2 linked regions of the Stegostoma tigrinum genome follow. The protein of the gene in region 1 purifies or fractionates together with the protein of each later gene. This does not show direct contact. Links are inferred from orthologs where the notes say so. Each region holds a gene or a part of one and is shown in the gene's direction. Other genes may lie near its edges.

Region 1 (3,747 bases):
CCATAAATCTATGCCCTTTAATTTTTCCCCAGGGAAAAGACTTTATCTATTTACCCTATCCGTATCTCTCATGATTTTATGAACATCCATAAGTTTAGCCCTCAGCCTCCGATGCTCAAGGGAAAATAGCCCCAGGTAATTCAGCCACCCTTGCTCCATTGCTCAAACCCTCAAACCTTGGAAACATCCTTGTAAATCTTTTCTGCACCCTTTCAAGTTTCACAACGTCCTTCCTATAGCAGGGAGATCAGAATTGTGAGCCTGGAAAAGCACAGCAGATCAGACAGTATCCGAGGAGCAAAAAGTCAATGTTTCAGGCCAAAACATTTCATTAGGACATTCAGCCCAAACGTGTTCCAAAACTGGCCTGACCAATGTCCACTACAGGCACATCATGATCTCCCAACACCTATACTCAATGCATTGGTGAGCATACTAAGTTCCTTGAAGACCATAAGGACTGCAGGTGTTGGAAGCCAGAGTCTACAGGTGTGAGGTTGGAAAAGCACAGCAGGTAGATAGAACAGTGAGGAAGGAATGTGGTACAGGTGTGAGGTTGGAAAAGCACGGCAGGTCAGATAGCATCTGAGGAACAGGTAAGTCAACGTTTCAGTCCAAATGCCCTTACGAAGGGTCTCAGCCTGAAATGTTGACTCTCCTGCTCCTTGGATGCTGTCGGACCTGCTGTGCTTTTCCAGCCTCACACCTATACCACATTCCTTCTTCACTGCCCTGTCCACCTAGGCCTCCACCTTTCTGCGCATCCAGAAATCTCCCCTCACAAGCCCCGCCCCTGCAAGCAAGCCCCGCCCCAACCGAAAGTCCCGCACTGCACACAAGCCCCGCCTCTACAACGGAGGACCCGCGACACAAGCCCCGCCCCAAAGCGCACACTCCTCCTAACGGATAGGCCCCGCCCCTCAACCCCAAAGCCCCCACCACTCAAGTCCCGCCCCTACAGAACAAGCCCTCCGTCCCACTAATTGCCTCGCGTTCCCTCCAAGCCACGACTCCATAGGACAGGACAGCCCACCGCTTTCCAAGCCGCCCAGTTTCATCATTGGCCCCGCCACCATGCTTGTGCCCCGCCCACCGCTTTCCGCTGCAGTGGGCTTTAGGCGCCGTCTTCACCGTGCCACGCCCCTATCAGTGCACCAGCGCCGGCAATCTCCCCGCCCCGCAATGGGCCTCACCCGCCCATAATTACCCCGCCCTCTCCCTATGCTCCGCCCCGCCCCTGTTCTCGTGCTATAGTCCCGCCCCCTGCCCGGGGGCTGCCCTTCGCGTTGGCACAGCCCATCGTGGAACACCGCCCCCTTAGGCCCCGCCCTGCTCCGCACACCCTCCACAAGCCCAGGATCAGGCAGCGAGTGGGCTCCAACATGGCGGACAGCGCCAGTGAGAGTGACACGGATGCGGCGGGCAGTTCATCGGCGTTGCCGCCCGCCAACTCGTCGGCCGCCTCCAAGGCTGGTATCGTGATCTCGGCCTCCAAGCTGGAGGAGCTGAGCAACCGGCTAGCCTCGCTGCAGCAGGAGAACAAGGTGCTGAAGATCGAGCTGGAGACCTACAAGCTCAAGTGCAAGGCCCTGCAGGAGGAGAACCGCGACCTGCGCAAGGCCAGCGTTACCATCGTAAGTGAGCCCGAGGCCCTGGGCCGCGGGTTCCCGGACACTCTTGCTCTCCCTGTCTGCGGGGCCTCCTTCCCAGACCAGCCCAGCACAGCCCTGCCCGGCCCCACCTGGAGTCGGCTGCTGGCTGACCATTGAGGGCTAGGCCACACAGTTGAGGCTGGGGTTGGGCCCGGGGCGTAGGGGCTGGTTTGGGCAAGGCAAGGCTTGGGGAGTATGGTACGAAGGAGATCCAGCACCTTCAGTGCTCTGGGTGGCGGGTGAAGCAGTGATTCTGCAAACCTAAGAGCGAATGGAAAGCTTGCACTGGTTTGCTATTAACTCATCCGTACCTGCCTCTTTTATTTTGTTAAAGCAAATCCCACACTTTGTTTCCCGGCTGATGCTCTATCCGAATTCGATGGATGAGCCTGCTTTTAACCCACGCTGTAGGAAACAAAACCTGCAACAGGTGCTCCCAGGATTCGGTGTGTTTTGTGGCATGTTTTCGGGGCTGTGGGAATCCAAAAATAACGTTCTGGTTTGCCTCCAAGTGCTTCTGACATGCCATCTCGACGACTAAATAGCCCGACTGTCACGTTGCAGTAAACGGTGGCTGCCGCTTGCAAATGTTTCCTCTTTTTTTTCGAAAAGAAGCAGGCAGTGATTGCATTGATTTTTAAAGTAATTAGCTCCCAAAAATCTGTAATTCTGAGGGGTGGTGCCTGTAAACAGTGTTCCTTTGTTCCTGTTGTGTGAAATCATAACTGCAGGTTTGGAATGATGGAGATATAATTCACCATTTGAAGCATTGGGTTTGATTTGTCGGGGCCTCCATGTTTTTTTTTGTTGTGGTCAAAATCTAGCTGCATTTTTCCGCACACCTTCTGCCCAGTCCTCTGCACTGTGTTTCAGATCACATTCTGCCATTCCTGGTTTCAAACGAGTCATTCTCTTTGGACTAGAAAGATTAAATTGAGACAGTGAAATCTTTAATTTTTAAAGAGGCATGGTGTTTGAGGGATGGGCAGCATTAGCTTATGACTCTCCATTGGTATTTTTATACAGAAAGGTGATTGAAGTTTGCATGTTTTGGTGAATCATTTTTCAGTTTGCAGCAATTCATTGCTTACAGTACTGAAGTACAGTGCTGATGTTTGCAAATAGACAGTTGAGTTGAATATATCTCAAATCTATGAACTGTATCAAGAACTTGATAGGTCAGACAAGAACAATACATCAAACCTGATGTTTACCCAGTTGACACAAGTTGGGATAGTTTTTGCTATTCATAAATGTGTGCTGGTAGATTCCCATTCAAGTTAATTGTAATTCTGGCATTCAAAAGGGCAAAATGACAAACTGTTGAGAAACATTTTTGCTGGGATAGGTTATTTTGTCCAACTAGTCTCTGCTGCACTTCATGGAACTCTTCCTTCTCCTTCATCTAATTGGAGCTTCCCAAAACTTCAGCTTTAAGATTGCAAGTTCTGATGCAGCAATGGTTTCCAGACAGCCGAAACCCGAACATCTGGGCACCTACTGTAACGGGCACCTGTGTTCAGAGCCAGTCTCCCTGCCCCTCCCTCTACTTCCACCTGCTTCATTCCCTGTCATTTGAAGAATCATATTTGCAATTTTGTTGCTTAAATGTGAGATGTAAAGTTTGCCAAACACTGATCTAATGTTACCAGCATGTCCCTTTTTTATGGTAGTGTTTTGAACAGTGCTTGGACTAGAAAATGTTACTGACTACTTGCTTAACACATTCCTGAGCCATTTCAAGAGTGCTCCTTAAGGTTGATCGGCAGCCCACCAGCAAGCAGCAGGGAGCTGGTTGAATCCAAACAGATTTAACTAAAGGGCTTGTTAAGGCCTTGTAGCTGCATCAATTGGGATTTTCACTTGGCATTGCAGGTAGCCAAAGTTGCCCAGGTCACTTGTGGGCTCGGGGGAGGGCAGTACATTGGATAATACCAGGATACCCTTGCATGGGGATTAGGGGTTGGAACTCTGAATTAACTCCCATGTCTGATTCTCCACCACTGATAGTTCTTTAAGTCTGCACTCTTCAACAGAAGTGAGCTGAAGTAAACTTGCAAGGGAAATGTTACGAATTGAAATATTGAAACACAAA
Region 2 (3,747 bases), on another chromosome or scaffold:
GGCTGAGACGATGGGTCGACCAGGGCAGGCAGGTTTGTGGATTTTGGGAAGGAGATAGAAACGGGCCGTGCGGGGTTGGGGAACAATGAGGTTGGAGGCTGTGGGTGGGAGGTCCCCTGAGGTGTTGAGGTCATGAATGGTGTTGGAGATGATGGTTTGGTGCTCGGGTGTGGGGTCATGATCGAGGGGGCGGTAGGAGGTGGTGTCGGAGAGTTGACGTCTGGCCTCGGCGATGTAGAGGTCAGTGCGCCATACTACCACTGCGCCACCCTTGTCTGCGGGTTTGATGGTGAGGTTGGGGTTGGAGTGGAGGGCTGCCCGTTCTGCGGGGGAGGTTTCTCCAGATAGGGGAAAGTTTGTTCCTTCAGGTGCCGCCAGACCTAGAGAAACACAGCAGGTTTGCCACAATCTAGAAGACAGAGTTTTAGAAGACAGAGTTTCTCCAACACACTTGTTACACGCAATTTCTACGTCATGTGCAGGAATAAACGCGTAGGAATTTAATGTTCCTCGGACAGCTCCTCCCTCGGCGCACTTTCGTCATAAAAAGGAGCTTAAAGACTGGGGAAGCAATTGAATATCCAGGACGCACAGTGATGATACTCAACGTAGGGGGTGGGGCGAAAGGGACGCACACGTGACAGTCAACCTCGCCTTCGGAGGCCCGCTCATGCGCGCCTGCGCCAGCTGCGATGGCGTCATCACGTCGAGGCGCGTGGATGACGCCACCGCGCCGTGCGATGGGAGTGACGTCTGCGGGCGGCGCCATGTTGTGTGTTTCACCCAGTGCCGGGCCCGCTGTCTACTGAAAGAGGGAACGGGGGGAAACTTTATTCGGTGGTACTCTGGGTCCCGGTTTCTGGCGCGGGGGTGGGGGGGGAAAGGGGGAATCGGTTTTAGTTGCACCTCCAAGATGGAGACGGAGAGCCTCCTGGAAGCTCTGTCAGGTCAGTGGTGGCAGACGAACGAACATTAGTTGGTGGTTTGTGTCTCACCGCGGGACTGGGAATCCCGATCCCCACGGCTTTGAATAACCTGTGCTCTCTGTGTGTGTCTTTCCCACCGGCAGATTTCGAGAAGAAATCCAAGAAGGAAGTGTCGTCGCTGTTGGACCAGTTCCTTTGTCATGTCGCGAAGACGGGAGAAACCCTGTGAGTGAAACCGTGAGAGAGAGAGAGAGAGAGAGAGGGCCCTGAGGCCCGGGAGGGAGCAGGGAACTCAACTCAGTTCTCAGCCGGGGAGAGTTGTGGGTGGTCGGAGGGTTCACAGTGAGGAAGGCTAAACAACCCACCCCCCCCATACACCACCCCCATTCTCCGTTCTCACCACCCCCCCCACACACCACCCCCCCCACACACCACCCCCATTCTCCGTTCTCACCCCCCACACACACCACCCCCATTCTCCGTTCTCACCCCCCACACACACCACCCCCATTCTCCGTTCTCACCCCCCACACACACCACCCCCATTCTCCGTTCTCACCCCCCCACACACCACCCCCATTCTCCGTTCTCACCCCCCCACACACCACCCCCATTCTCCGTTCTCACCCCCCCACACACCACCCCCATTCTCCGTTCTCACCGCCCCACACGCCACCCCCCAGCTCCTTTCTCCCTCGCCCCCCCCACACCACCCCCAGCTCCTTTCTCCCTCGCGCCCCCCGCCACACCACCCCCAGCTCCTTTCTCCCTCGCCCCCCCCCCGACACCACCCCCAGCTCCTTTCTCCCTCGCCCCCCCCCGACACCACCCCCAGCTCCTTTCTCCCTCGCCACCCCCAGCTCCTTTCTCCCTCGCCACCCCCAGCTCCTTTCTCCCTCGCCACCCCCAGCTCCTTTCTCCCTCGCCACCCCCAGCTCCTTTCTCCCTCGCCACCCCCAGCTCCTTTCTCCCTCGCCACCCCCAGCTCCTTTCTCCCTCGCCACCCCCAGCTCCTTTCTCCCTCGCCACCCCCAGCTCCTTTCTCCCTCGCCACCCCCAGCTCCTTTCTCCCTCGCCACCCCCAGCTCCTTTCTCCCTCGCCACCCCCAGCTCCTTTCTCCCTCGCCACCCCCAGCTCCTTTCTCCCTCGCCACCCCCAGCTCCTTTCTCCCTCGCCACCCCCAGCTCCTTTCTCCCTCGCCACCCCCAGCTCCTTTCTCCCTCGCCACCCCCAGCTCCTTTCTCCCTCGCCACCCCCAGCTCCTTTCTCCCTCGCCACCCCCAGCTCCTTTCTCCCTCGCCACCCCCAGCTCCTTTCTCCCTCGCCACCCCCAGCTCCTTTCTCCCTCGCCACCCCCAGCTCCTTTCTCCCTCGCCACCCCCAGCTCCTTTCTCCCTCGCCACCCCCAGCTCCTTTCTCCCTCGCCACCCCCAGCTCCTTTCTCCCTCGCCACCCCCAGCTCCTTTCTCCCTCGCCACCCCCAGCTCCTTTCTCCCTCGCCACCCCCAGCTCCTTTCTCCCTCGCCACCCCCAGCTCCTTTCTCCCTCGCCACCCCCAGCTCCTTTCTCCCTCGCCACCCCCAGCTCCTTTCTCCCTCGCCACCCCCAGCTCCTTTCTCCCTCGCCACCCCCAGCTCCTTTCTCCCTCGCCACCCCCAGCTCCTTTCTCCCTCGCCACCCCCAGCTCCTTTCTCCCTCGCCACCCCCAGCTCCTTTCTCCCTCGCCACCCCCAGCTCCTTTCTCCCTCGCCACCCCCAGCTCCTTTCTCCCTCGCCACCCCCAGCTCCTTTCTCCCTCGCCACCCCCAGCTCCTTTCTCCCTCGCCACCCCCAGCTCCTTTCTCCCTCGCCACCCCCAGCTCCTTTCTCCCTCGCCACCCCCAGCTCCTTTCTCCCTCGCCACCCCCAGCTCCTTTCTCCCTCGCCACCCCCAGCTCCTTTCTCCCTCGCCACCCCCAGCTCCTTTCTCCCTCGCCACCCCCAGCTCCTTTCTCCCTCGCCACCCCCAGCTCCTTTCTCCCTCGCCACCCCCAGCTCCTTTCTCCCTCGCCACCCCCAGCTCCTTTCTCCCTCGCCACCCCCAGCTCCTTTCTCCCTCGCCACCCCCAGCTCCTTTCTCCCTCGCCACCCCCAGCTCCTTTCTCCCTCGCCACCCCCAGCTCCTTTCTCCCTCGCCACCCCCAGCTCCTTTCTCCCTCGCCACCCCCAGCTCCTTTCTCCCTCGCCACCCCCAGCTCCTTTCTCCCTCGCCACCCCCAGCTCCTTTCTCCCTCGCCACCCCCAGCTCCTTTCTCCCTCGCCACCCCCAGCTCCTTTCTCCCTCGCCACCCCCAGCTCCTTTCTCCCTCGCCACCCCCAGCTCCTTTCTCCCTCGCCACCCCCAGCTCCTTTCTCCCTCGCCACCCCCAGCTCCTTTCTCCCTCGCCACCCCCAGCTCCTTTCTCCCTCGCCACCCCCAGCTCCTTTCTCCCTCGCCACCCCCAGCTCCTTTCTCCCTCGCCACCCCCAGCTCCTTTCTCCCTCGCCACCCCCAGCTCCTTTCTCCCTCGCCACCCCCAGCTCCTTTCTCCCTCGCCACCCCCAGCTCCTTTCTCCCTCGCCACCCCCAGCTCCTTTCTCCCTCGCCACCCCCAGCTCCTTTCTCCCTCGCCACCCCCAGCTCCTTTCTCCCTCGCCACCCCCAGCTCCTTTCTCCCTCGCCACCCCCAGCTCCTTTCTCCCTCGCCACCCCCAGCTCCTTTCTCCCTCGCCACCCCCAGCTCCTTTCTCCCTCGCCACCCCCAGCTCCTTTCTCCCTCGCCACCCCCAGCTCCTTTCTCC

The links. The genes of interacting proteins can lie anywhere in the genome.
Region 2: the proteins of ccdc6b (region 1) and ppp4r2b purify together in Homo sapiens (co-immunoprecipitation; 3 studies listed by BioGRID and IntAct, counting the BioPlex papers as one, with this or other methods). This does not show direct contact. The link is inferred for Stegostoma tigrinum from reciprocal best matches to the Homo sapiens genes CCDC6 and PPP4R2.

The regions. Positions count from the first base shown.
Region 1 is NC_081373.1:50,824,617-50,828,363, reverse strand, and holds the start of ccdc6b (coiled-coil domain-containing protein 6b), read left to right. Parts: upstream 1-1,324; 5' UTR 1,325-1,382; coding exon 1,383-1,634; intron 1,635-1,997; exon of another isoform or gene 1,998-2,035; coding exon of another isoform or gene 2,036-2,098; intron 2,099-3,747.
Region 2 is NC_081364.1:39,750,926-39,754,672, reverse strand, and holds the start of ppp4r2b (serine/threonine-protein phosphatase 4 regulatory subunit 2-B), read left to right. Parts: upstream 1-857; 5' UTR 858-913; coding exon 914-947; intron 948-1,069; coding exon 1,070-1,151; intron 1,152-3,747. UniProt on the Homo sapiens protein: Regulatory subunit of serine/threonine-protein phosphatase 4 (PP4). May regulate the activity of PPP4C at centrosomal microtubule organizing centers.